Lepisosteus oculatus: one gene and its partners. The protein of the gene in region 2 interacts with the protein of the main gene of each other region in a pairwise test. Links are inferred from orthologs where the notes say so. Each region holds a gene or a part of one and is shown on either strand. Other genes may lie near its edges.

Evidence for each region.
Region 1: the proteins of dazap2 (region 2) and tax1bp1b interact in binary tests that used the Homo sapiens proteins (3 or more experiments, as listed by UniProt). The two-hybrid records come from large-scale screens. The link is inferred for Lepisosteus oculatus from reciprocal best matches to the Homo sapiens genes DAZAP2 and TAX1BP1.
Region 3: the proteins of dazap2 (region 2) and zc3h10 interact in binary tests that used the Homo sapiens proteins (3 or more experiments, as listed by UniProt). The two-hybrid records come from large-scale screens. The link is inferred for Lepisosteus oculatus from reciprocal best matches to the Homo sapiens genes DAZAP2 and ZC3H10.
Region 4: the proteins of dazap2 (region 2) and pogzb interact in binary tests that used the Homo sapiens proteins (3 or more experiments, as listed by UniProt). The two-hybrid records come from large-scale screens. The link is inferred for Lepisosteus oculatus from reciprocal best matches to the Homo sapiens genes DAZAP2 and POGZ.

Annotation. Positions count from the first base shown.
Region 1 is NC_090705.1:398,548-405,447, reverse strand, and holds the start of tax1bp1b (tax1-binding protein 1 homolog B), read left to right. Parts: upstream 1-3,892; 5' UTR 3,893-3,981; intron 3,982-6,900. Other genes in the region: hibadhb (3-hydroxyisobutyrate dehydrogenase b), read right to left, coding at 1,817-1,886.
Region 2 is NC_090696.1:16,039,648-16,047,017, reverse strand, and holds the start of dazap2 (DAZ-associated protein 2), read left to right. Parts: upstream 1-4,366; 5' UTR 4,367-4,550; coding exon 4,551-4,563; intron 4,564-7,370. UniProt on the Homo sapiens protein: In unstressed cells, promotes SIAH1-mediated polyubiquitination and degradation of the serine/threonine-protein kinase HIPK2, probably by acting as a loading factor that potentiates complex formation between HIPK2 and ubiquitin ligase SIAH1.
Region 3 is NC_090696.1:14,680,667-14,687,608, forward strand, and holds the start of zc3h10 (zinc finger CCCH domain-containing protein 10), read left to right. Parts: upstream 1-3,927; 5' UTR 3,928-4,114; intron 4,115-4,944; 5' UTR 4,945-5,148; coding exon 5,149-6,351; intron 6,352-6,501; coding exon 6,502-6,942. UniProt on the Homo sapiens protein: Specific regulator of miRNA biogenesis. Binds, via the C3H1-type zinc finger domains, to the binding motif 5'-GCAGCGC-3' on microRNA pri-MIR143 and negatively regulates the processing to mature microRNA.
Region 4 is NC_090722.1:3,868,458-3,876,304, reverse strand, and holds the start of pogzb (pogo transposable element with ZNF domain), read right to left. Parts: upstream 3,006-7,847; 5' UTR 2,786-3,005; coding exon of another isoform or gene 2,685-2,785; exon of another isoform or gene 2,682-2,684; intron 2,426-2,681; exon of another isoform or gene 2,355-2,425; intron 2,331-2,354; exon of another isoform or gene 2,027-2,330; intron 1-2,026. Other genes in the region: retinol dehydrogenase 13, read left to right, coding at 2,685-2,785, 5,316-5,434. UniProt on the Homo sapiens protein: Plays a role in mitotic cell cycle progression and is involved in kinetochore assembly and mitotic sister chromatid cohesion.

The DNA of each region.
Region 1 (6,900 bases), on a different chromosome or scaffold from region 2:
TCTGGAGTTGCATTTTAATATTATGTCGATGAATAATATAATCGCACAAAATCCCACTGGCTCTTCTTTACAGTTCTGAGTGGAAGACTAGTGCACAACGAACAACTTATTTGATACCAACATAATTAATTCCACAGTACCTTATAGCATTATTAAAAAGCACTGAAATAAAGACATAAAATGACATGCATTTTGACTTCAAATTACACTTAAACTATAGGCCTGCAGAGAATGTAGAGCTGATACCCCCCAAGACTCTTTAGGACCTGTCTGAAATAAACATCTTTCACCTTTCTGTCTCAGTCTAAGGCTCATACTCGGCCATTCTTAACTTGTGAGGGCTGTCTCCAAGTCAAAAGAGCATTTCTAATGTCACCATCAACTGCTTACTCAGGGAGAAATACCCCTGGCCCTCATGCTATTTTTAAACCATTTGAAGCACACAGGAGCTTGCATAAAGACTTGAATGTATTCTTCATAAAAGCATATTATTGGGACTCACTCCTTTTTAAACATGAATGGTGTTGATGGAATTAGAAAAGGAAATGTTTCTTCACACGGACGGGGGAGGGGAGGACAGAACAGACTTTCTGCTCAGGTGATTCAGAAACCCTGCTCTCCTTCAAGAAGCAAGTGAACAAATTCTAGACTCTCTGAACTGGCAAGAAGGGCTGTCTTGTATTTGCAGCCTGTTGTGCATATTGACCTAACCTTGAACATCTGATACGCAAGCCAGCTGCTGACACTCCTTGTACTTATAACAGGTCCCAACATCACTTGCTGCCTTTTTTCTAGAAACCCCAGCAGAAATGCAGATGGCACATAGCCATGACATCATCATAGGCTTGGTATGTAAAGGAATGTCCTTTTGCTGAGCACCATGGCAAAGTATTCATGCTTTTCCCTAACATACTGTGCATGTATACATGCTTTATTCCTTCCACATCATAAAGCAGTCTAAATTGATCTCAATCTAAAACTATTCTTGATGCAAATACTTTTTCAAATAAGATCTCTAATCTTAAAATGTACTGTAGGAAGTGATTTATATACAGCACTAACATGTTTGTTTGCACAGTAATTAACTCTTTAAAAACAGAATCATCCTAGTGATACAAATTACAGAGCTGAGAATAATATTTATCTTAGTTACATGTGCAATTACAGCAAATATAACACTAAAACAGGATATTTTAAACAATGAATCAAACACTTTGATTCCAACTTTTTCTTTAGGTGTTAACTTTGGCTTGTGAAGTTGTAAGCTTGTCTTTAGAGTAAAACATTTTCCTAGTGACAGGGAGTTTTGTAAAAACAGGATTCTAAAATGTACAGAAAATCCCATATCTTCCAAGACAGAGCAAACTGGTAGTGGGGGAAAAAAACATCCTGTAACATTCAGAGATAAACCCATACCTGCTTTTAACAGGTGCTTTCCAAAACTATAACAAAATACACTTAAAATGTTTTAATTTAAATTTACCTCAAGCCTGCGAAAGCATCTTCACTAAAGGACCAAGGACCTTTAGTTAAGGACTAAAGGACCAAGGCAAAAGTATTTTTGCTGTATGCTTCCCTTGCGAGAGTATTTGGCTCTGAATAGCATGCCAGCATCGATCCCGCTTATCGATACTACTACTGACATCCGCATCAGCGATTGCCAAGCGATACCGGACAGAAACAGATGTTACTATCTATATCATTAAGCTTAAAGGTGCTGCAATGCATAAGCTACAGATCCCACCCCTCCCCCGACCCACAATAGCCTCGGAGAAGGACGAAAATTGAATATATGCAAACGTAAACAATACGTTACCCAGTGCCAGGCCCACATGCTGACCAAAGCTTCGCAACAAGTTCCGAGACCCTCTAACCAAAGCGGCCATGTTTCCTTCCCCTTGACCTCAGCGTCGCGGTGTCAACGCTCGAGTCAGGAAGTGACCACGGGGGTGGATGAGAGTGACACCGCCTTCAGCCCAATCAGAGGCAGGGTTGCCCACTATAGCCAACCAGAACCCGGGAGGGGCGGGATATCCTATAGCTTATCTTTGGAGCCGTGCGTCTTTGCGGGAGTTGCATGTCTGTAGAGTTTACACATTCAGGTTCGAAGCCAATTTAGAAAAGACAATTAGATGGATTCAAAGAGAAGCGGTTTAATAAATAATACCAAAATTCCACCAATATTAAATTAATTTACGAGGTTACCTTTCAGAGAGGTCTTACTTGGACTGTAAAGTTGTTGTGTCCTGTCTCTGGCTGGTACAGCGATTTACACCAATTTTTTTTATATCTGTTTTTTTTTTTGCAGGCAGAATACGGAGTTCTTGTATTATTGGGGTTGCATGGCATTGAAGAAACCCAGCAACAGGATATTATTATCAGGGACTTGCAGGATACAAGTACAATAGCCAGCAGCCATATCACCCTGCAGCTCACAACTAGCAACCCACTGAAACTAAGCAGGTGTGAACCTGGTCAGTACCTGGATGGGAGACCTCCTGGGAAAAACTAAGGTTGCTGTTGGAAGAGGTGTTAGTGGGGCCAGCTGGGAGTGCTCACCCTGTGGTCCATGTGGGTCCTAATGCCCCAATATAGTGATGGGGACACTATACTGTAAACAGGTGCCGTCCTTCTGATGAGATGTAAAATTGAGGTCCTGACTCTCTGTGGTCATTAAAAATCCCAGGGCGTTTCTCAAAAAGAGTAGGGGTGTAACCCTGGCGTCCTGGCCAAATTTCCCATTGGCCCTTACCCCTTACCCATTGGCCCTAATAATCCCCATCTATGAACTGGCTTCATTACTCTGCTCTCCTCCCCACTGAAAGCTGATGTGGGTGAGTGTTCTGGTGCACTATGGCTGCTGTTGCTGTCGTGGGAAGGGGAGTCCCCATTACCTGTAAAGTGCTTTGAGTGGAGTGTCCAGAAGAAGCACTATATAAGTGTATTATTATTATAATATCATCTCAGATAAATGAGATCTCAGTACATCTCATCTCAGTCCATACCATCCCAGATACAATTTCCAGTATGTTGCAGAACTGGTCTAATTCAGTTTATTGCACATTGCTCCAAAGCTAAATTGGTTAGACCAGGTACTCTTCTTCACTCACCTGTCACTCATGGCCATCATAATGAAGTGTGGGTATGATGCCTGACGCTGCCTTTATTCCTTATTCATCATCCTCTGAAGGTCAAGGTGACATTAGACCAGTAGTGCTTTATACTTAAGTATGAGTCCAGATTTAGCACAGGACATGTGGACAGTGTCTTTTGTTGTTAACTAATAAAGAGCAAATGAATGGTTTTGTCTATGTGCAATGAAAACAGTTTTTGTAAAACAGCTTTATTAAAATGTTTCTGTAAGTCTCCATGCCACCACAGTTATTGAGTGATGTGATGATGGCATGAAATTGTTTTTATAGGATTTTAAAATACAGTTTCTATTGAGTTTTTTTTAAGATTGTGATTAGACATTTGCTGTACTGCAGAGATATTCTTTCTCCGTAGTCTGGGTAGGATTGTCAAAACCTATGTTTTTACGTGGATATTTTGGAAGATTTGAGGAAATATAGAGGTAAATTGAAGGATTCATTATCTGGGATTCAGGATGATGAGAGAAACCCAGGATCTGTTTCTCACAGCAGGACAGAATAAATCCTTAGCTTTAAATTTCTTTAAATTTAAAGTTTTTAGAGTGGTGGGAGTGTGGAACGTGCTACCCACCCGTGTTGCTGAAGACGGTGCCAGGCGAAGTCTTTGGATCAAACAAGTTTTTGCAAATAAGGGGGTTGGAGGGTGAATGACCTCCTCTCATTTGTCACCTCTCTTATGTGCTTTTGAAATAAAGGCACAGATGCACAGTCAATAACTTTACGCCTGCGCAGTGGGCAAGGGCACCGATCCCGGAAGTGACGCATCGCCCCTCTTCCAGGAAGAAGGGCAGCGGCGACCGTAGAGCTGCGTCAGTGACGGTTTACCAAGGTAACTGGGGTTTTACTTCGATTTCACATGGCGAACGGTTGTTGTGTGGTTATTCGTTAATGTAGTTGTGTTCTGTAACGATTATTAGTGTTAGTCCTTTTACGTGGCAATGTAAAAATTGTGTGGGATTTGGGTTACGTTATCATTCCCAGTCCAGCAGTGACGAACCACAGGCTTAGCCGTGTTTAAATAACAAGCAGAAGGGGAAGAAATTGAAGACAAACGTTTTGGAGCTCAAACTTTGATTGTAGTTCTGCTTGGGTTGCGAAGGGATTTTAATGTTGAAAGTCAGTATTAATGTTTCAACTATCGGACTATGGACTATGGATTCGGCCGTAAGGCCCTTAGGAACATGAAATAAACTTTTTATTTCTGCCCACCACTTGTATTGAAAAAGAAACTAAAGTCGGTTGTTGTCTGTCCTTGGACCGTTTGGTTTCGATATTTGTTTTGACCTTTGAGTTTAATTTTGTTTTGTTTACATCCATCGATAAGCGATCCGAGCATGCTGGCGTGTCAGTTAACAAGCTTTTTTCAGGAGGAGACTGGACTCCTAGATTAGTGAGATGTTTAATATCTCTTCAGGGTGCGTTGCTTTAACAGCCTCGGTCGCTGTGGGACCCTGCTGTTGTTGATGTTCGGTAGTAACGAAAAGTACGAAACCCCAACAACTCGAATAACGAGTTAATAATAATAATTATTATTAACTCGTGAGCGTCTGCGGGTCGTGACGACGCTGTGTTGGCGGCTGCACTGGCCAATCGCAGGCCAGAGCCTTCAGTGGTGTTTACCTAACGGGAATGTCAACAGTGGCCCCGGACCAATAGGGGGGTCCGGGGGGCGGGTCCGTCGAGTCTGAGCGAGTCAGGCTGGTGTTGCTCATGAGCGTCTGGGAAATTCTGTTGGTGATGAACTGTCATGATCTGCACGACTGGGGAATTTCGGCAGCTCTGTCGGCGAAGGTTACACAAAACCTTTGAAACCCACCTCACCCCCCCAATCTCTCGTTTCTGTCTGCGTGCCATTGTACTGTAAAATGAACGTGGTTTAATAGTGGACGTTGTGAACGATGATGCTTTTCAACTGATCTTTCGTTTTGAATCGCACCTTAAGCGTTAAAGCCTTTCATGCACATAAAAAAACCAAACGGTTATTTTAGTAGTTACTAAAAGTCTTTACGTAGGCAAAGATGTTTTATGTAGGCATTTTTATTTTTTGTAATTGGTTTCTGATGTTCCCAGCACTGACGTCTCGGCACTTAATGACTTGTCAGACGGATTCATATTTGTGATTGTTCACCTTTGCCCGGTGCTGGTAGGATTCCTGGGAAAACAGCTGATCTAGTCCTTTACGGTTTCTGGCTGAGTTGTTTTAAATTGATCCTGGATGGAAATTGTGCTGTTTAATCGGGCCCTACTTGTGCCAACGTGGCCAATGACAACCGAGTTGTTGCCAGTCCCAGCTAGGAGCCTGTCGACTCTGAACGATCTCATCTCCAAGCACACCACAAACTGTTGTGTCATGGTCTGTGTTGGAAATCTGAGTTGCAGTGTAGCAGATAGGGGAGTCTTCAAAACCACCACTTCTCTTTATGGGTTCTTTGAATTCATTTTATAATCACTCTGTTTTGCGAAGTACAGTCCATGGAATGATACTGGTGTACGATAGGTTCTGCAGTTGTGTGATATGATAGTGTGATGAGTTGTCACGTGATTAAACATTGAGGACAGCTCTGTGCTTTATCCTAATTGAGGAAGTGAGACCTTGCTGGATGAATGTGACTGCAGGTTGCAGAATGAGTAAATTTCTTAAATGACATGATTCTCATTTGGTACAATGCAAGGCTTACCTTTTATGAGTTTGTATATCAATTCTGTTATTAATTTTAGGGTACAATTAGACAGTGAAGGATTCTGCTCTGATATCTAATATCTGTGAGCTCTTTTTACAAAATAGATCATGAAAGCTTTGTGTTAGATGGGGATGTTTTTCATGGAATGCTAAACTGTTAATTGCTTGGAGATGACAAAGTAGATTCTTTGGGAAATGAGTTCTGTAGTTCTACATGGGTAAAGTACACCTAGTTTACAAAAATGAAACTCATGCGACTGGCCTCTAGAGATAAGTACTAACCAATGAAGAACATCAGGAGAGAGTCAGATTTCTGTTCTGAGCTGCTTTGTAACTAGACAACATAACTGCACGCAGGACTCTGCTTTGATGACAAAGATAAACTGTCATCAAATTGCACTAGATCAGAACACACATAACCTTCAGGATCGAGGTCACACAGATGTCTTCCTTTGAAAATCTAGTCAGCCCTTTTAAAAAGCAAGATTAAAAAAAAGTTCTTTGCTCATGAAATCTCTCATGAAAGACCATTCACATGGACATTTAACAGCGGTGACAGGACTTGATTCCATCAAATTGATTCTGACTGAATTAGGTGTGATCATGAAACTGATTTAGCTTACTATGTAAGGAGGTCTTTTAACTCTCATCTAAAGAAAGAAAGTCTGAGAATAAAAAGGCTCTTCCTGCATATCCAGTCTTTCCTTTTGACATGGAACAGTTCCTTTATGTCACTGAACTGTACAGCTAATTAGCAGAGATCTGCACGGCTGTATTGTACTTGCCATCTGTTTCTCATACCATTAGTATCTGAGGTATCTGAAAAAATATAAAATATCCTTATTTTTTTTGGTAAGAATTAAATGGAGGTTGTGAATATTCAGAGCCTTGAGTACAATGGTAACAGGTGAAAGAATACTAGTAACTAGTAGCAAAGATGGTGAAGTAATTTCCACTGCTTCCCATTTGCTGGACTGTGCTGTGTGTCCACACCCCTCCTGTGTGCGTTAACAGGATCTGAAGGATGAGAGCCGAACACAGGAGCCCTTCCTCGTGGGTTCGACACAG
Region 2 (7,370 bases):
AACATTAGGGGCAGCACTCCAGGGCAAGAGATCCTCAAAAAGCCTGATCAAAGCATTTCTGTTGAAGAAGGCACAACTGATTATTGAGAGTGGAGCTTGGATTGGACCTGTCTGTTTTGCCCGAGTTCTCTGACTCTCCCTCTTTTCAAGTCTTACAATATAGCAGTCACATTAATAGTTCTTGTGTAGCGTAGGAAGAGTAGTGTTGTTATAAGACACGTTATGCTAAACTGAACACACCTGAGTAGTTTTATAAGGGACAGGGTGGACAATGTTCCTAGGCACGATGCAAGGCCAGGCTGAAAGAGCTGACATGGATTAGGAGAGACAGGTGAGTCTCAATAGTTATGTGGCTGTTTAGTTCAAGTGACCTCTGGTAAACCAGCCCTGTACAAGACTGGGCACAATCTCCCATCACACACCACAGCAAGCCCAGCTTCACTCCTGGCCAGTATAGATAGATAAGACTTCATTGATCCCGAAGGGAAATTGATGTGTTACAGCAGTCCAGCCCAAGACAAGCAGAAAACAAACAGACATCAGAATAGATGAAAAATTAGAATACGTACAGTAATACAAAATAAATATAAAAATAAATAAATACATAGGTGTGTGCAAAATATGATCATAGTCACTGTAAAAACAATAAAATATGTGAAATATGTGCATAGGTACTGTATATAGAGATTGAGTGTCCAAAAAAGTACAATGGAGCAACACGCTGTCCATAGACGAGCCCTAGTATCAGACTCGGGCCAGAGCCTTGCACCAGTAAATCCAGGTAAGGGCTTGCGGCTACAGCCTAAAGGTTAAAGGTCATTTCCCCCATTAGAGGAAGCATGTTGCTTTACTCCCCTGCTGTATCTGTGGAGCTGTGGTCAGGGTTCTAGACTGGTAACTGGAAGCTTGTGGGTTAAAATCCTAGGGAAAACAATGTTGTTGTTGTTGTTGTAGACCTGGGCAATTTGAAATGCTCCAGTTAATCACCCAGCTGTATAAATGAGAGCAAATGTTTAGTCGCTTCGGATAAAAGCATCTGGCACATAAACTAGTCGCTGGAAGGCCATCTCTTCAGGCAGCCTCTGAGCTGCTGCTGTTACTGCAGGAGGCCTGTGCAGAGTCCTGTCTCTGGTCAGGTGGGAGAGGGTAGACAGGTGTGCTCCCCTCTCTCCATGAAGCAGGGGGGGGTAGACAGGGGAGTGTTCTGCGCACCTGGCTGAGCTCCCTCCTGCCAGCTCAGGTGAACCTCTCCTCCACGCCTGCACCTCCAGGGACACGCAGCTAGGCAGCGCTCGCCGAACTTCGCCCGGCTCCTCCCTCTACTCGAACACGCTCTCCGCAACAGCCAGGTGAAGCTCAACTACTGCATCCTGAATCCAGGAGAAGACACCTCTGGACATCCTTTAAGAACTCAACCTGAGATGGTCACAAAATCCATCAGGGAGGTTTCTTTGCACAGACCCTGGAAATGTAGTTATGTATTTAGATTGCTCTGGTCATGAATATTTAACTGCTTTCCTGCCAGTTGGCAACCCGTCTCATCTGAATGCATTAGCATACCATTACCACGGCACTGAAAGGGGAGAGCTGGGATTGCGGAATGCTGCTGAATCCCTAATTAGCCCAGATCCGAGCGTCGATTTCCACTCGACTGCGTTGTTTCATTACAGATTTCCTTTAGCCCTGCAGCCAAGTGCATCTCTACCCCCCACCACCTCCACTACCGCCGCTACTCAGCCCCCCCCCCACTCCCATAACCCCCGGCCACCTCTCCACCACCCAGACCTCCCGACTTCCTCATTAACGGATCCCAAGTGTCCAACTCTCACTCTCCCAGTATGCACCCATAGGAGCCGGCCTTGCTTCTGCGAGAGGGGGTTTAATAATAATAATAATAATAATAATAATAATAATAATAATTGCTTACACTTATATAGCGCTTTTCTGGACACTCCACTCAAAGCACTTTACAGGTGATGGGGGCTCCCCTCCACCATCACCAGTGTGCAGCCCCACCTGGATGATGCGACAGCAGCCATAGTGCGCCAGAACGCTCACCACACATCAGATATCAGTGGGGAGGAGAGCAGAGTAATGAAGCCAATTCATAGTTTAATGAGAGGCATCAACGCAGCTCCACTTCAGACACCGGGCCAAGGCTTTGTGGCTGGCAGCGCCTACCTCCCAGTTAACTCTTCACCCGCTCAGCACCCGACAGACGCAGAGGTGACCTTTCTCTCCAATCGAAACCTTCTCCTCGAAAACCTTGAGCGCCCCCTCCCTGTACCTACCGTGAGCCGAAGGGCTACTTCTGATCTCGCCTCTGGCGTACCGCACAGAAAACAAGGAGGCACGCCTTTACACAAAGGGTGGCGGGTGTCTGGAACAAGCTAGCGAGCCGCGGCACTAAAGCATTCCCCTCAGATCTTTCAGGAATGCGCCGGGTGAGTTCCTCACTCCAGGATGCCACAATCAACGAAACAAGATGGGCCAAAGAGCTGGATTTCATTTGCAAATACCCGTGTCCTTAATTGTGCTTAATTGTGTAAAAGCCTTCAGAGATGACCTGACAGAAGATAAGGGTCACACACTCTGTGAAGGCGAGTTCATCCCCAGAAATGACGCCTTCGCAGAGTTCCTTGGAAACGGGATCGGTGTCTGTCCTGGGTCACCGGTGTTTCTGCCTGAACCGTTTTCACAGGGTCATAGTCAGCTTGTGTGTACAGTAAATTCACACTCGAGCAGAGCTCTACATTGGAGGTGTTGTGTTAAAGCAGGGAGACACACTATCTCCACAAACATCAAAGTCCCGCTTAGGGCTGCTGTTACTGCTCCCTTCCACTTTCCGTGATCCACGACAGGCCGTGATCCGTCTGTGGACGGAGCTCAGCTCAGTGAAAATAAAAACAGGTTCTCCCCTGCCCTGTTTCCGGCAGGCCGAAGAACGACAGAAACGCCACAGCCCAGGCAAGCCTGAGCTGCGAAGCACTGCGAAGGCAGTACAAGGGAACACCTGAGGCTCAGACATCAATCGTCCAGCCGCTTCACACGTAGTGTGAGCATCTCCAACTGCCCCGATTTCCTGACGACAACGGCAGAACAAATACTTTTACAGTAATGCACACGTAGAAATCCGATGCCGCGCGAGGAAGCGGCTCAAGAACGGAACTTCTTCCAGAAGCTTTAGGAGATCAAGGCCTGTGGATTTCTCTCATGACATGCCTGAGGCCGCAGACCAAGCTGCGATCCGCCCTTGGTGTCCTGTAGTAAATCTGAGCGCACGCAGAAGGATGGGATCAGGTTTCGACACTCTCTGAGATGGCTCCGCGCTCCGGGCGAGTTACAGAACTGGTCGGGCCCTCCGGACTGCGGAGAGCGCTGAGCTCTCCCTCTGCAGGCGGCCGGCGCTGTGCCCTTGCGAGCTCGGAGCCCGCGGGCTTGACAGAAGAAGATTAAGCAACCCAGGTAGAGGGACTGGAATAAACCGCAATCGCACCCTCTGCCGGCCGCACCCCACTCGCCCCGGCCGAAGTCAGCCGTCAGACTTGGCGCAGGCGAAGTCCCTACAGGTGGCGGTAGTGTTGAAGGGTTTAGCGACCGGAGCACCGGTAATATCACACAACACAGTGCAAGTCTGCTCCGCCTGCCACGGTCTGGTTCGGCGACCCCTTCCACGGGGCGAAAACCGACTTCGTCCAGCGATGAGAATTCAAAGCGCGTAAACTGCAAGTCCGTCAGTTGTGTCGACAACACGTGTAACGATTTCATTGTTCTTAAATGACTGAAGAATAAATACCACACGTCAACTATTTATAAATAACTTTACGAAGGTCATTTATAAATGATTAACTTGAGACATAAGGCGACGTTAATTTAAGCTAATTTAACGTTCATTTAAGAAATAAATTGATGGAATATCAGAGTCTAAGCAAATCCGTGCCGCTTGTCTTTAAATGACAAATTATGCATGCATAATAAACTACGATGAACCACGGTTTTGTGTGGTGATAAAAGATGAAGGACATTTCAACGGGAAGCTGATCGAAATCTCTCCGCTGTCAAACACTGAAGTTACCATCTAATATATTAGAATGCAAGAAAGTTTTAAAACGAGAAGAGACCAACCGGTCCATCTAGTTCGTTTGGAAGTTAATTAAGTGAACTCATCCAGGTATTAGCTACAGCTTTTGGGCTGTACTACTCTTTTTCTGTAAAAAAGAAATGCACGTTGCACAGGAGAAGGGGAGACGACAAGTTACGTCTTTTTGCACAGGTTACAGTCTTTCAACTAACGGCCTGGTTTCGCTTGACAGGACTCCTGAGTGGCTGTGGGCGCGCCTCCCCCAACAGGGAGTGGCGGTGACGCGCAGCACCGCGGCTCCGCGCATAGATCAGGCAAGCGTCGCAAACAAGGAAGTGAAACAGTACAGGAAAAACTTTGCACGGAGACCTCAGTGTTTTGTTGTTATCGCGGAAAAAAAAGGCCCGAAACCTAGCTCCGCGTCTTTCTCTCCCTCTGATTCGAGTAACCCGCACAGGAATTCAGGACGATGAACAGTAAAGGTAAGCCGTCTTAGGCACCCGGTCGTTTTCGATCCAGGCTCGGTCGCCTCGGAGACGACTTGGGTTAAAGGGTTTTGTTTTTGTTGTTGTTTTTAACTGTTATTTGAACAATTCACGTCCCTGGTCGTGCATCTCGTAAGGACGTTCTTGAACAATCGGCGGACACGGTACCGCGGGGGTCGGCTGACGGTCCAAGAACGTGGATTCGGGTTCTGGGCCGCCGAACCGAGTAAAAGCACAACAAGGCCCGTCTGGTGTCAGTGTGCAAACCTGGGCAGAGCAGCTGCGTAGCTTATGCTGCAGGATCACGGCGGCGGAGGTAAAAGCGTCAACAGCAAGCGCTGTGGGGCTGTCCTTGTGTAACCTCGATGGTATAATAATCATTTGCTGCAAATCCGGAACCTTCTGGAGACAAAAAATGCCGTTCGCGTCTTATGCGTTACGGATTGGCGACATTGTTTTATGCGCCAGGAGAGGGGATGTCAGGCTGTGTACGTGTTTCGCCGAGCTTCGTTATTTACTCTAAAATGGACACTGCCTTGTCTACAGAGCACCACCGAAAGCAGTGATAAAAGAACGCGAAATTCCGCGATCCGCCGATCCACCTAAATCTATTTCAGCCCGTTTAAATTAACGTACCTTATAATGTCGAGGCTTGTATAACACTATCGTATTCATTCCCACGGGACTTGTATCTTAGACATTTTACTGAATATCGTCTTGCTGGGGTTGGGGTAGAGGCCTGGTTTCTTGAATATCCTTGAATATTAACCTTGCAACTCGCTGCTGGCATCATTTTAACAATGAACCGGGGAAACTCGGTATTAAATGACGAAGTGAATTCGTATTTAGGATCTTAAAACAAACACTCCGGGAGACAGATTAAGTTTTAATTTGGTTTTGTCGATTAAGATGAAGAAAGTCATTTTTCGTGTATAATGTATTTTTTAAAAATAAAAAGGCGCACCTCCACCGGTGCAGAATTCATCCTAGAGAATAGAGAATATCCTAGAGAATATACGAGTTTTCTTTTAAAAATAAACGTAGGTTTCGCATTGTGGTTCAGAAAGGGTTTTCATTTCATTTATGCTCATAAAGAAAGAAAGGCTGGGGGAATTATGGTGAGGGATAAGAACTACATCGTTAGCCAGTGGTGATCCGGTCCCGAGTCTGAGTAAACGTCATACAAGCTGTGTAACATCTCAGACCAGATCAGCTGCCAAAGCTACAGTGTGTATTAACGTGGCATTGTTGTTAACAGCAGCTGGTAAGACGGTTTCAAAGCCCTACAAAATGGAATGCAGGGACTCTGCAAGTAAAAAAGGGCGAGTAGTTGGCTTGGAAATACCTGCACCCCCAACCCCCACCCCTTTTTTCTGATGGGATGGTCTTTGGTTGAGCTTGGGAAGGAGGTGATGATGCGTGAGATGGAACTGACCCACTGGTTCTGGTTGGGATTGGGATCTTTGAGTCGTTCGGGTCAGGAATGGTGATGGTTGGGTCTCCTGCTCCCTCAGACCGGCCACACACTATGCAGCCCAGTGGTCAGGATCCTGGACTCGTAACTGGGAGGTTGTGGGTTCGAATCCCAGGGGAGACACTGCTGTTTTAATAATAATTGCTTACACTTATATGGTGCTTTTCTGGACACTCCACTCAAAGCGCTTTACAGGTAATGGGGACTCCTCTCTACCACCACCAATGTGTAGCATACACCTGGATGATGTGACGGCAGCCATAGTGCGCCAGAACGCTCCCCACACATCAGCTATCAGTGGGGAGGAGAGCAGAGTAATGAAGCCAGTTCATAGATGGGGATTATTAGGAGGCCATGATTGGTAAGGGCCGATGGGAAATGTGGCCAGGACGCCAGGGTTACACCCCTTTACCCTTGAGAAAGGTCCTTCACCTGCATTGGTCCAGTATAATCACCCAGCTGTACAAATGGGTGCAAATGTGAATCACCGCATGAATTGGTAAATAATTAGTTTGAATGCAAACCATCTAGACCGGCAGTGTTCTGAGTGTTCTGACCTCAGAGTGTTTCGCTGTCCCTGGAGCTGTGCAGGCTTGCTTACCGGGTGAGAATACTGGCCCAGAGCACCAGTGACATCTCTTTTGTGCAGAGCTAAAACTCTACAGACTTCCTGAGATCACAGTGCTGCTTCTCCCTGGTGGGTCCACTATTGGTAAAAGATTCCAAGGTCATGAACCTTTTGAAAACCTGAGTATATGTAATATTTTGAAATGCATCAAAATATTTATTGCTGTGCAGTAAGTTGAAATTGAAAATCGTCCCCTTTATACGTTAACTATGAAAGCACTGCCCTTTCCTGCTGATATCTACTGCATGTGCTAAGATGATGTCCTTATCCAGGGTGACTTACTAGTCCGATTTATAGACTTAGATTGCTGCTATCCAGCCTATTTTTAAAATCTATACACCCCATATTTGCATAGAACTTAATTTTCTGACCACGCAGAGACAACCACATTGTGTCAGCAGATGTGGTGTAGTTCTGTCTTCAGAAAGACAATGCACATATATATTTTAGAGTACTTTCCAAAGATACCATCCAGGGCTGAATTGTCTTTCCTGCAATCAAAACCCTTTAAACCAGAGATTTTTATGATTTATTTGGCTACCGATAGGTCTTTAATTTGTGTGTTCACAGCTTGACTAAAACGTCTGCTTTGTGGTGTAAGAGAATCCAAACAAAAAGAATCCGCAGTAGTTCTGCAATAAATCTGATCTCAACTGGCACAGAAATTCGAAAGGTGTCCTTTCAGTTAATTGAGGTTGGGTT
Region 3 (6,942 bases), about 1.4 Mb from region 2:
CTGTCGAATACCGGTCTGTTGACGCATGTTTAGCAGTTGTGTTCGCGCAGTTCCGCAGCTGAAGGTCTGCGTGCTTTCTGGAGATCGGGGCAGCGGTGCTGTGCGCGTCTTAACAAGCCGCTGCAGTCCTGTCACTCGGGAAGAGGGGTCAGAGTCTGAGCCGCCTCGGAGTGCAGCGGCTTCGACTTTTGACAGCGGAACGATCCTGCCGATAGGTTAGCGCCATTTTAAAACTCCGGCCTGCGCGACCACACTGAGCCTCTAACAGGAAGATCCCCGAGCCGAGAGGCTGCCTTGGGGGCGTGAGCGGTCGCTCTGCTGCCGGAACGGCCTGGGCTGTTGGTGAGCCTCCGGCTGGGGGTGCTCATCGCTGTCCGGCCTGGCTCGGAGCGGGCGTGGGGCTGAAAGCGAGCGTGGTGTCCGTGTGACACTCGGCTCGGGCTCCGTGCGAGGCGCTGTCACCTGGAATACAAGCCCTTCAGGCGAGTTTCCGAGTGGGCCCGGCGTGCAGTTAGTCCCCTCTGCCTGCCCCGTGTGCGGGCTGATTCTCCGGCAGGGCTGGGGGGCTCGGCCTGACTGACGGTGTTTTTCTCTCTTTGCAGTGGAGGAAGAAGAGAATGCGCAGGTAAGCGGCCGAGCGGGCCGGTGGGGAGGAGGAGGAGTGGGGGAGCCGAGTCCACGCTGCAGCTCCTGGCTCAGGCTGCGGCGGCTGGAAGGGGGCAGTGCGGCCCGTAGCGCGCTGGGACTCCTAGCTGGGGCTGTACTGGCCCTGCTGGGTCTCTAAATTCTGCTGGGATGAATCGTGAGGAGTGGAGCCGAGATACAACTCTGTCCCACTAAAAAGGCGTAAAGCTCTTTAGCATCAAACATGGAAAAATGAACAAGTGCTTGATGGGCAGCAGTACATATGCATGTCTTTCTGCCCATATTGCACTACTCCTTTACAGTTACAGAGTGCTTTCCTGGACACTCCACTCAGAGCTCTTGATGGGTATTGGGCTCTCCTGCACCATCTAGATGAAGCAACGGCAGCCAGGCTGGTGGTCTGCTCCCCACACATCAGCTGTCAGTGGGCAGGAGAGCAGAGTGATGAAGCCAGTTCAGACATGGGGATTATTAAGAGGCTGTGATTGATAAAAGCCAGGGGAAAATGCTTGGGTAACACTCCTACCCTCTTCAAGAAACTGCGTGATTTAAAAAAAAAATGATTGCAGAGAGTTGGGACCTCAGTTTTACCTCATCCGAAGGACGGTGCTTTTTTATTACAGTATAGTTTGCCCATTGTTGTATGGGTCCTAATGCCCCAGTATAGACTGCATGGTGAGCACCCCCTACTGGTCCCACTATCACCACTTCCAGCAGGAATCTTAGCTTTCCCAGGAGGTCTCCCGTCCAGCTACTGGCCAGACTCGCACCTGCTGAGCTGCAGGGGGCTGCCAGCTGTGAGTTGCAGAGCAATATAGCTACTGGCTATTGCAGCAATGTACACTAATCTGATGGCAACTGTTCCCTGCATGAAGCTTAGCTGTGTTTAATATACTGGCTGCACGGGGAACAAAGGATTTATTGTACACATGTATTCTAAAATACCTCCCTGAAGTTGAAAAGTCAAAATGGGGATGGCGAGAGGGGTTGTAAACGATGGGCTGAGCTCTGCTTTGAACTGCTAAATAATACAGGTCTTTAAGCTGGTTCTGCTGACCAATTTCTCTAGCAGGCTCAATTAAAATTTTATCCCAGGGGGCAAAGTTGGCCTTATGGCACAGCCCAATAAAGCAAGGAAGGCGACGAGTTCCCTGGCAGTGGGGATGAGGGAGTTCCTGAGTGTTGGGACTGGGCTGCAGCATCAGCCTGGCACTCCTGTGCTAGTGCCCTGTGTGGCTAAGGTTTCTAAACCATCCAGGTGGAGCTGCACACTGGTGGTGGTGGAGGGGAGTCCCCATTACCTGTAAATTGCTTTGAGTGGAGTGTCCAGAAAAAGCGCTATATAAGTGTAAGCTATTATTATTGTTAAACCAGTGTTTATGGGGCAGGGGGTAGCAGGGCTGCTGGGTCACTTTTTACACTGGCAAATCGCTTAGCACTTCATCTGGTGGAGTTGGGTTTGATTTGGGGACCCTGGGCGTTTTATGCTCTTGTATAGGGATGGGGGGGTAACGGGTGGTTTTGGGGTACCAGAGCTGAACTCTTCCAAGTTACCAAGAAACTTGTAGAAACTGAGAAAATTGTATAAAGGATGAGGGTTCACTGTAATATTCTCAGCGGGAGGCCAGCTTGTCCTGGGTCAGAACTGTCGGCTCGGCTCCCGGTCAGTGTGCTGCTAACCGCTGCCCTCTTGTGGTCACAGGCTGAAGCGGAAGAGAAGAAAGATGAGGCAGAGGTCCAAGTAAACTGGCTTCTCTCCACTGCAACTGTGAGCCCTTCTGTCCCCGCTGCCTGTTCCCTGCGGACGGCAGGCAGGCCTGGAGTTGGAGCTGCTGCAGCTGGAGGACGTGCCTGTTGTTACACCCCTCATGTACCAGGCAATGCTGTGGGGGAGAGACGACCTGACCAGGAGGAGGAGGAGATGAACTGGCGCCTGAGCTCTCCTCTGGGAGGCACTGGACTCTTTGACACCAGCCCAGCACAGTTGCTTTGTATAAAACCTTCAATAAATTCTTTTGGTATTAAAAACCATCTTGATGAGTGTTCCCTTTATTTTTTACGGAGTAACTCCCTGGTGCTCTTGTGGCCTGCACCAGGGGGTTGGGGATGGGCAGCTCTAGGCCTCAGGTGCTTGTTAGAAAGGGGTCTGTGATCCTTGAATTCAGTCTCTCACTCGCTCCACTCCAAGCCACCTGTAGGGCCCCAGCCTTCCAGGACTGGAGCAGCGGGTCTGTGTAAAGAGAAGCTTGTGCAGGCAGGTGGGGTGTAGTTCTGATGTGCCTGGCTTACTGCTGACTGGCTGGGCTGCCAGCACCTGAGTGGCTGCATTTAAGCCTTGATTTTGAGTGAGTGTTTTAAGACCGGTAGACCACTGTGCCCGGTCTGTATGGATTGCTTAGCGTGACTGCTGTCAGATTTTGGATCCGTGCTGCTAACCTGTTCAGGAAGGATGGGGCTGATGTTTGTATTGCAGTCTAAGCAGAGCAGCCCAGGGACAGGTGTGCCCCCTGCAGGAGGGGTAGTTGATGCCCCTTGTCTATTGCAATGCTACTTTTCCCAGTAGAATCACACTTACCATTAACAGGAGAGGATGCAACACGGAGACCATTTGACCTGGCTGTGTTATTAATTGAGCAGAGAATCTCAGCCAGCTCTTCCCTGAAAGAAATTAGGGTCTTAACACACCTGTGAGCCTTGTTCAACACTCCCACACCCCTTTGTATAAAGGTGTGTTTGGATTTTCAAATGCACTAAAAATACTGAATTTGTGCATTGTTTAAAGCAGGGTGGTCACTACATGGTAGTGCTGCCATTACAAAATGACCCAAAATCCTCCTTTTGGATCGTGATGGGCATTAACATCCCTATGCCTGAGCTCTTACCCCAGTGCTGCAGGGGTGAAATATAAGCTGCTCTTTCAGCTCCTGGGTTTCTTCTCACTTTTGTATTAATGCTTACTTCCAGAGCCCAAGTACAGTATTTTTAAGTCTATGGCCCCAGGAGTTTCTAATTAATAAGTATTTAATTAGAAATTGTTTAGAACCATAACTGTTAATTATGTAGTGTTTGACACATATTTGATACTGTTTACGTCTGCCTACAGTCAGTGGCGGAATCCATCCTCTTTGAATTTTGCGTCAATCCAAAACAATGTTAAACCTTCTTCACAGTGAGTTTAGGCAGTGTCGCAGAATGCCGACAGGAGGCGCTCTTGGGTCTCTCCTCCACCTCTTTGAAGTTAGCGCTTCCCGAGGTGAGTCGCTCTTGGTTGGGAACGGCGAGTCGTCGGTCTTGGAGGACCAGTGCGGAGTGTGCCTGGGTGCTGTTGTTCGTGTTCTTTGAAATATTTTAGTTATAAAATAAAAATATAAATGCTTTTTCATAAAACGTGCATAATAAATATCCCGAGAGAACCACGACATATAAAAGAGCACAAACTTCCTTTCCCGGTGCTGCAACGTTGTTCAAGGTAAGGCGTTGCAATTTGCTGTTGAGTGTAGGCCGTGGTGTGACGTGTTGAGACTATTAATAGTATTGTCGATATCGTTCATTTTAGTGAGGTTTTTTGTTGTCGTGCAGAAATTCTAAAGTGCATAGTAGCAATACTTAGCGGGAGCAGCATAAATAATGTTCCATTATAGGGCAAGGAGCTGCTGAATTCTCCAGTCCAGCCCCGTTTGGAGTGTCTCAGTCTGCACTGCCGGTGTCAATGGGAGTCTCGAGTATAATGCCAGGAAATAACTAATCCAGATCTCAGTGAAATCAGTGCTAATCACTGTGTCACAGTCTGAGCCGCTCCAGGCTGTGCTGGACTGACTTGTCTGTTGTCTTGATTAGTTATTCCCTGAGATCAGATTCCCAGAGATACAGACAGTAGGGTCTGAGCTGCTCCAGGCTGTACTGGACTAAGTTGACTGTCCTCTTGATTAGTTATTACCTGAGATCAGAACCACATTCCCAGAGATACAGACAGTAGAGTCTGTACTGTACTACAGGCTGTACTGGGCTGACTTGCCTGTCCTCTTGATTAGTTATTACCTGAGATCAGAACCACATTCCCAGAGATACAGACAGTAGAGTCTGTACTGTACTACAGGCTGTACTGGACTGACTTGCCCGTCCTCTTGATTAGTTATTACCTGAGATCAAGAGTATCAGACAGTAGAGTCTGAGACACTCTTGGGTCTCCTGCTGTTTCACATTAATCACCTTGTTGACGTTGTATTGCAGCGCCATTGTAATGGATGACGCAGTGGACCAGAGTCTCGCTCTCCAACATTGTTTGATTGTCTGTTGCAGATGTCTCCACGGAGGACATCGCTGAGCTGAGGAGCCCAGGGAACGCGGCGCCCACTCGGACACGCAGAGAGAGAGAGAGCCGCACGCGGACTCCACGGCACGCGCACAGACAGGCGTCCGCGCGAACATTGCCACACAGAGCCAGGCCCGTGCGCGCGATCACCCACATGCGTGCCGCGTCTCCCTTTTCCTGGGCACGGCGCCATGCCTGACCGGGATAGCGCGTACCTGTCAGGCGGGGGGGGGGGCGCGGGCGGCGGCTCGGGCAGCGAGGAAGGGGGCAGTGGGGGAGGGGGCGCGGGGGGGGCGGCAGGAGGGGGAGCCGGGGCGGGGGGAGGGTCTGGGCCGGCAGGGGTGGGGTCCGTGGGGGGCGGGGCCGGGGGCGGGTTAGGGGGCGGGGGGATGGGCGGGGGGAGCGCGCTGGGCAACGGCAGCACCTGCGGCAGCGGGGGGCCCGGCGGGGGCCTGGGGGCGGGGCCCGGCTTGGACGACGTCTGCCGGGACTTCCTGCGCAACGTGTGCAAGAGGGGGAAGCGCTGCCGGTTCCGGCACCCCGACTTCAGCGAGGTGCCGGACCTGGGGGTGCAGAAGAACGAGTTCATCTTCTGCCACGACCATCAGAACAAGGAGTGCGTGCGCCCCAACTGCCGCTTCGTGCACGGCTCCAAGGAGGACGAGGACTACTACAAGAAGACCGGGGAGCTGCCCCTCAGGCTGCGGGGCAAGGTGGCCGCGGGGCTGGGGCTCTCGCCCACCGACCTGCCGCTGAGCCGCGGCGAGGTGCCCATCTGCCGGGACTTCCTGAAGGGCGAGTGCCAGCGCGGCAGCAAGTGCAAGTTCAGGCACGTCAAGAAGGACTACGAGTACGAGGCGGCCCGCGGCGGCGCCGGGGGGCTGGGGGTGGGCGGGATGGGGATGGGGATGGGGATCGGGGGTGGCGGGCTGGTCGGGGGGGCGGGGGGGGCCGGCGGGGGGATCTCGGGGCTTGTGGGCGGGGGAGGGGGCGGCGGCGGGGGGGGCCTGCTGAGTGTTGGGGGCGGGCTCAGTCTGGGGGGCTCGAGGGACCCCGGAATGCCGGGGGTGGGGGGCGGCGGGGCAGGACTGTCGTTGGGAGCCCCTGGGCCCCGCAGGTTCGACCGCGGCCCCTGCTCGCTGTACGACCCCCTGTTCGAGGGGGGGCTCTTCGACCCCGGGCCCCTGGAGGACCCCGTGGACGCCGCGGTGCAGCTGAAGAGACGCAGGCTGGAGGGGCTGAGGCTGGCCGAAGGGGGTGGCGGTGGGTGTGCCGGGGGCCACTATGAGCTCGGGGTGCAGGCAGCCCCCCCGCCTCCCAGGCCCCTGGAGTACAGACTGCTGGAGGAGGAGAACGCGCTCCTGAGGAAGAGAGTGGAGGAGCTGAAGAAGCAGGTGAGAGAAGGGGGAGACTCACGGCTCGGGCCGAAAAGAAAGGGTGAGAGGGATCAGAAAAAGGAGGGACACGGAGGCAGCGAACACCCCCTCGAATTAACGTTTCCTCCGCTGACTCCTCGTCCGTCTTCCCCCCTCCCTCTCTCGCAGGTGTCGAACCTGATTGCCACCAATGAGGTGCTGCTGGAGCAGAACGCCCAGTTCCGCAGCCAGGCCAAGGTCATGACCCTGTCCTCTACGCCGGCGCCCTCAGAGCAGAACCTGGCGCCCCCCGTGGGCTCGGTGAGCTCCTACAACCACAGCATCGCGCAGACGCACACCACCCTGAGCAGCGCCGCCCTGCAGCCGCGCCCCGTGAGCCAGCAGGACCTGGTGGCCCCCGCCGCGGCGCCCCCAGCTCCCCCGAGCAATGCGGCCCCTCCCTCCGCGCCCCCGCCGCACCTCAACCCGGAGATCACCCCTCTCTCCGCCGCCCTGGCCCAGACCATCGCGCAGGGCATGGCGCCTCCTGTCTCCATGGCGCCCGTTGCGGTCTCCGTGGCGCCCGTGGCAGTTTCCATGGCGCAGCCCCTCCCTGGCATCACCATGAGC
Region 4 (7,847 bases), on a different chromosome or scaffold from region 2:
GTACGCGGATCTCGTAGGGATCCGACATAGAAGCAGCCGCCATTATCTCAGTGGGCTTCCAATAAGCGATCACGAGGCGCAGTGCCTTTGCAATTCCGCACGCGCTCTCTGTAAAAGATGAAGCGCGGTGCCTGGCAGTTTCAACCTCCCATCTGTCGAGCTACGAGGTTTGTTTTTTTAATTGAATACATAAAAAACTGAAGGGGGAGCTAAAGGGGTCTGATGTATGATGGGGACAATTGTCATCAATTATCTCAACCGCAGTCTCCTCCCTTATCTTCAAGGCTGCACTGCAGAAGCAAAATGCATTTAACAATACGAGCCGCGCACATAACCGTTTAAAATCACACCCACTCCATTGACTCATCACTGTGAAAACCTGTTTGGCAAAGAGATCCTTGCAGAGTGACTCTTTGTAGAAGGACTCGGATTATTCCACTTCTTCTATGGGGGGGGGGGGGGTTCTACGCCGGGAGATACCATTCAAGCAGAGTTCTAGAAACCTGCTCGAAAAGACCGGCTTGAGAGAACACACAAACGTACAAAATGTAACTCGCACCACAGTAATAATAATAATAATAATAATAATAATAATAATAATAACTTACACTTATATGGACACTCCACTCAAAGCGCTTTACAGGTAATGGGGACTCCCCTCCACCACCACCAATGTGCAGCCCCACCTGGATGATGTGACGGCAGCCATAGTGCGCCAGAACGCTCACCACACATCAGCTATCAGCTGTATAGCTTGTTCCACACTCCCATGAAGTCGCCACTGCTAAATGGTGTTCAGTTTTCCCGTAAGACGAAATCAGAATTGGTAAAGCTTATGATGAGTGTTGTTGATCAGCCACATTCACCCCTGTTGTTGCTGCTGCTGCTGTCGTTGAGTTGAGATATTCCTCAGCCCAGCCTGTCCGTGCTCCTCCGCCAGGTGACCATCCGGGCGTACGCCGTGCAGACCAAGGTGGCCGGTGCGCCCAAGAACGCCCCCGCGCTGCCGCCCCCGGCCCAGCCCCTGGAGGCGGAAAGCCTGCCCCCCAAGCCCGCCGACCCCCCCTCGGGGCTGAGCCCCGCGCAGAAACCCGCCGCCAAGAAGAAGACCGTCAGTAAGATGCTGGAGCTGCTGTCCAAGTTCCAGGAGCAGAGGTGCGGGGGGGTATCTTGGGGGTATGTTGTGGACAAGACAGGAGTGCAGCGTCCCCCAGTACACAGCCGACTCCTGTGGTCTCCAGCTCGGCTGAGGCATTGATCTTGGGTCAGGATTTACCACCACCACCCTGTAAACTGTCCTGGCGAACAGTCACGCCGTCCCTGAGCTGTGAGAGGTCGATCCTTGGAAACGTGCGGAAGACCGTATCCCTCCGGCCTACCAGTCCAGCCCAGGAGGAGGGGGGGACACGGCGCCCTTCTCTATGGGCTGGACCTCGCTGCCGGCGACGGCAGCCATAGTGCGCCAGAACGCTCACCACACATCAGCTATCAGTGGGGAGGAGAGCAGAGTAATGTAGCCAATTCATAGATGGGGATTATTAGGAGGCCATGATTGGTGAGGGCCAATGGGAAATTTGGCCAGGATGCCAGAGTTACACCCCTACTCTTTTCGAGAAACTCCCTGGCATTTTTAATGACCACAGAGAGTCAGGACCTCGGTTTTACGTCTCATCCGAAGGATGGCGCCTGTTTACAGTATAGTGTCCCCGTCACTATACTGGGGCATTAGGACCCACACAGACTGCAGGGTGAGCGCCCCCTGCTGGCCCCACTAAAAACTCTTCCAGCAGCAGCCTTAGTTTTTCCCAGGAGGTCTCCCATCTAGGTACTGACCAGGCTCACACCCGCTTAGCTTCAGTGGGTTACCAGTTGTGAGTTGCAGGGTGATATGGCTGCTGGCCTGTTTTATTTATAATATACCAACCAAATGAATTAATTGTCTTCGGACTTCTACAACCGAAGTGATGTAAAAGCAAATATTTCCCACCCTGGGGTGCACAATCCGGCAAAATGAAAAATCACATACATAACACTCCAGTTCTCCTCCCATCCTCGGGCTCGGAGCGAGTTTGGTTCTGAAATTGTGAGCCAAATAAAAAAAACCTGTACCGAACACCGTGCGTTATAAAAACGCCCGCCCGTTTCACTCTGTCACCGGTGACGTCAGAGTGACGTCGAGACCTCGCAGAAAGTTGACCTCACGACATGAAGGGCCGTTTACGTCATACGCGCAGCAGCCTATCAGAACGCAGCGTCCATCTTCACCCTGCACACTTGCACTGAGGGCTTTTTAAAAACAATAAACGAAACAATGACGTGATAAACCCGCAAGGCAAAAACTGTCCTGCACTCACAGCGCTGGTGCGAGTCACATTATACGCTACACATTGTAGTCCAATATCGCGCCGCATTTCCAGGCTTCTCCTGCACAGCGAGCAATTAAAGTAGCACCCAGCACGCAGGCGGCCAGCGGGGGCGGAGAGACCCAGCAGCTCCCTCCTCAGCCCGGACAGCCCGTCCAACATGGCCGACGCGTCGCCGCGCACACACGCCAGCCTGCCGTCTCCCCCGCGAAACCGGGGGCAGCCGCCTTTAAAGGAACCCCGGGTCCCCCCCCCCCTCTCCCAGACACGCACACGCCAGCGTGCCCGTGGGCTCCGGGGCTGGGGCGCTCGCCGGTCGGGATGGGGGGAGACGGGTCCCCCCGGCAGGACAATGAGCCGCGCGCTCCGACGCCACCAGAGGGAACAATACCCGCCACACAATCACAACAAACTCACCTCGCGTACGTCTGTCCTCCTTCCCCGGTGGGCGACGGAAAATTTAAAAAAAAAATGAAGGAAAAAAAAATTAAAATTCTGAGGAAGCTTCGGGGATTCGCCCACCCGGTGAAAACAAATAAGCCCGATCTGGGGGCAGGCAGGCAGGCGATTTTTTTTTTTCCTCACTCCTCTCTTTTTTTTTGTCGCTCGGCGCTGGTGAGGCCAACGTCACTTCCTCCCTGCCAGCCCGCGGCTCTTATTGGAGGAGAGCGCCGCGAAAGGGGCGGGGGCGGGGTGACGTCACCGAGGCCCTGCCGAATAAAATCCGCCCCGAGCAGAATCTCTCGAAGTAGTTCCTTTTATTGTGGCTCGCGCGGGTCTTTTTGTGTCCATTTTGGGGGAGGAATAAAATAATACATCACATAGTAAGGTGTAAACACTTCCCTCAATTGGACTGATATAAATTTTGAGAACCTACACTTTTAAAAGTCTCAATAAAAGCACCAATTTTGCTTTGGGGGGGCCCTATGCTTTCCACTAAGTGCGTCCATTTTGTGAGGTATTTTGAAAGAAATGATACATGATACACCATTTTAGTATGCGGCAAAACATGAGTCAAGAAAAAGAAACGCAATCAGATATTACATCTATCAAGATATCACATCTTGAATACTCAACGGGGAACACAGTGGAGGTCTTGATCCACCAAATAAAATTTCCCCCTTGGCCACACACATCACACTCCGCCCTATCCAGGCGATGAATATTTATTAAATAACCATACACGAATAATATAAAATCCACAGTATCACATATCATTTTTAATTGGGTGTAAAATACAGTAAATGTAGCCACAGAAAACAAGATGGCGGCCAAACTTGGCCAAGGTGATACTTCAGAAAGGTTTCCATTTAAGAAACGACGATTATTTCCCTTTACTAAAATCGCTCAACAATAAGTGGTAGGCCTTATGAAACAAGAAAGTCTATATAACAATAAAGTCTCACAAAATCCTGTTTCTAAGAAGAGAAATATTGAGTTATATTGCCAACGTAAACGACGGAGGAGCAACGATTTTGCACAGAACAATGGTTTGGCCGACAGGAACGGCTTCATCCACAAGCAAAATGCGCGAACTGCGTCAAACGGTGTCCTTTCTATTGCAGCAATACTTTCTAAACTGTAACGACAGTTTTGTTAATCAAATACGCCAGTGGTTCCTCCGAAATGTTAACATTTTTAGAGACAGGAGAGTACAAACAGATGTACCTTTGCAACAGCTGTGATCGTATGGGTCGAGTGTACGTTATTTCATCATTTATAGGACGTATTTTACTGCGTCGTCGGGGTGACAAAATAAACATTATGCTGCACACCTTCACGGGGAAATATTTAAACAGTGATTTTGAAAATCAATAAAACTGCTACGTAAAAACTGAAAGGAGAATAAGTCTACACACCAAAATGCGTTATCCAACGGCTCGCTGGCGCAGGACCACCCCAGTTGCCCCAAACCAACACGAGAGTATTTGGCATATTCTTGTCAGCGGGCATCCCAACGAAGGCCTTCAGGAAAAAAAAAACATTGTGGTAGTTATTTTGTTTTCATTTTAGATTCGATCTTTTTGTTTTTTTATTGAGTTGTGAAAGCTCAGCAGCTGTGGGAATTGAATTGTTTTAAAACAGGCGCGATTTTGTTTTAAAAAAATCATGTATGGAATGTAAACCCATGCTTTTATAGCACGTTAGCACAAACCGCCCATGTGAGTGTGCGGTCAGGCACTGTGTTAATGGGAGGATGGCGGTCTAAGCATCATTTCTGAGCCGCGAACAGCGGGACATCGCTCAGACGGGCTCGGCGGTTCTCATTCTTATCTGACCTACATACAACGCCGTAGTTCGCCCCGATACAACTCCTGCGATCGTGAAAAATGCGAGGTTTGCAGCGCTCAAATTAATTCTTCCAATTTTCCTTTCTGGGTTCAACACAGATTATTCCAGAATGTCTGGAGGATGTCCACGTGCGTCCAAGATCTGGGTTTAACGGTGAAAAAGATATGTCGCTGAACTAGAGAATAAATTACCTCTGTCATAACGTGTTAATTTTGGCATACCTGGCCGTGTTTTAAACCCTTTAAAATAAGAACTCTCGTTCTATTTTTTGAAATGGATTATTTGGGGCCTGCTTAGGTATTTATTTTTTGTGGCTGTTCTCTGCGCAAACACCCACATTCGAGACAAAACCCCCCTAAGAAGTGGCTCTGGCTGCCCCAGTCACCGCGCAGAGCAGAGCTGCACTGTTGGCAGTAATCGGTCTTAACAGAGGATTCAGAGAGCCGGGGCAAATAACGCAACGAGTGTTCCTGCGCTCGAATTAGTCATTAATCTACTATGGAAGCCTCTAATCAGGTCTGATTTAGCTCGCTTAGGACTATTCATAGCCGCGCTGCTCGGAGAGCTCAGAAACGGGTCGCGTTCTCAAGGCCGACGGAAACCCAGGGGGCAATTTCCTTCCACAGACCCCCTCTTTCTCCTTATCCCCCCTCACCCCAGCTGGTGCCAGGTACCCCGAGGGAGCGACGCCCCCTTCTTCTTGGGAGACATGTGGGACCAGGGGCAGTGGTTCAGTCTACTGACCAGGTGCGGGGCGGTGACCGTCGTGACTGCGATCAGTAAGTCCCCCGTCTGACCGGCTGCCGTTTACACGCAGGATGGCTCGTCTCGAACCTCGCGTCCCGGGGCGTAAATATCACAAGGATTTGGTTCTGGGGGGGATACGAAATCAACGTGATTTTCATTCGTTCTTTGATCAATAAATCATGAAGGAATACTGGTTTTACGCGCTAGAGGCAGCTGAAAAGGTCGGCTTTAGGGCACAGGCCTTTTAATTTGAAAAAAAAATCTTAGTGATGTACAGTAGCACACCATACTCTGGTAGTAACTTCTATTCTAAAATGGGTCATCCGAAAGTTTGTAGGCCGGCCCCGTTTTAAAGACTCGCTTGTGCGTGCCGTGTCCGTGCTCCTGTAGCGTTTCCAGTCGTCATCATCATATTTAGTCGTCATCTTCAAGTTTCACCTCCAGAAGAAAAGGCATCTGCAGGGCACAGTGCAAAGGTCACCTAATAGAGTTCAATAAATCCTGAACTAAGCCAACAGGTTGCCTGTTGAGAATCTTTGCCGCACTCTGTGGTACTGAAAGGATATTTCAAGATACTTGGAACACAGCCTAGATATATAGGAATTGAAAACAGTTAAAATGCAATTTAAGGGTACAAAATAATTCTGTTTTGGGGGTCTACTAAGGGTTAAATTATTTACATTACTCAAGCTAAATTATTTAACTTAAGGGGAACAGAAACCAGTAGGTTTGGGGGTCCCCTGGACCCCAGAACCGGTCCTGGAACACCTGATATAGGTGGATTCCCATTATACTTGGGAGTATGTGTGAATGCGTTGGGAGATACACACAAATATGTCCGTGAACTATTTTAAAAGGGTGTTTTATATAAAGGAGAAGCCCTGAGTCATTGTCTAAGGACCTGGCTCACCCGAGTGTTTCTATACCAGGTTTCTGAGGCATCAGTCTCTCCTAGACGGAATTCCAAAATAATAATTCCTAACGGACCAGTGCTTCTCAAGCAGGGTCTGGGAATTCCTGCCTTTTATTCCAGCAGGGTTCCTTCTTAATTACACGTGTTCGAGCCAGAATTGAACGCTTGGCTGTTCGGAGAAAAAACAGCTCCGGCCTCTGGACAGTAAGAGAGATTGAGACGTCATCTTCCACCCCTTGGCCAGGAGCTGGGATTCAGAATTCCTCTCGGCTGTGACAGTGGTTTCAAGGGGAAGTGTAATCAGTGGTGCTAGACAGTGTGAAATTCTATAATCCGAGTGCCTGTCACAGTGTCATTGCCGTCTGCGTGGATGTGTCGCTCACTGACGGACAATGAGGTGTTCAGAAATCTTATTGGATGTGACAGCGACTATTTTACACCCAGATGAAATAGAGATTGTGTTCGCAAAGCACCCTGGTAAAAATACACATAAAGGAGCTGGTTGTTGAGCAAGCAGGAGGAGTGGCAGAGAGTCTGGATTGCAAACTGATAGGTTTGGGACCAGTCCTTGGCAGATCTGTCTCTTTGAGAGAGGGACATCATTCAGATTGCTTCAGTAAAATGCCTGTGTAAATGGCTCCAACTGGAAGAAAAATACATTAACAGTGCTGATTACTTCCAAAGCTGAGACCTTAGTACAGTATGAAAACCAAACAGCCCGTGTGATTAAGGATTTCATAATCCCGGCCAATTAGCAGTAGATGTGGAACAAAATCCCAAAGACACAGAGATTGCAGCCAGGTCACTTGGTTAATACTCACACTCTTATGAACAGTTAATAATAATTAATAATTGCTTCCACTTACATAGCGCTTTTCTGGACACTCCACTCAAAGCGCTTTACAGGTCATGGGGATCCCCTCCACCACCACCAGTGTGCAGCCCCACCTGGATGATGCGCCAGTCCGCTCCCCACACACCAGCTCTCAGTGGGGAGGAGAGCAGAGTGATGAAGCCAGTTCAGAGACGCGGATTATTAGGAGGCCATGATTGGTAAGGGCCAATGGGAAATTTGGCCAGGACGCCGGGGATACACCCCTACTCTTTTCGAGAAACACCCTGGGATTTTTAATGACCGCAGAGGGTCAGTACCTCGGTTTTACGTCTCATCCGAAGGACGGTGCCTGTTTACAGTACAGTGTCCCCGTCACTATACTGGGGCATTAGGACCCACATGGACCGCAGGGTGAGCGCCCCCTGCTGGCCCCACTAAAAACTCTTCCAGCAGCAACCTTAGTTTTTCCCAGGAGTCTCCCATCCAGGTACTGACCAGGCTCACACCTGCTGAGCTTCAGTGGATTGCCAGTTGTGAGTTATTATTATTTAAACAATTTTATGTAGTTTAACATTGCCTTGTGTCTAAATCAACTGTAACATTAGCGTTTCTCTAAATTCTGAACACAACATTAAGGATAACAGGACCCTTAAGTGAACTCACGACCTGCTTATCTAGAGCTTTTCACCGGCTTTCA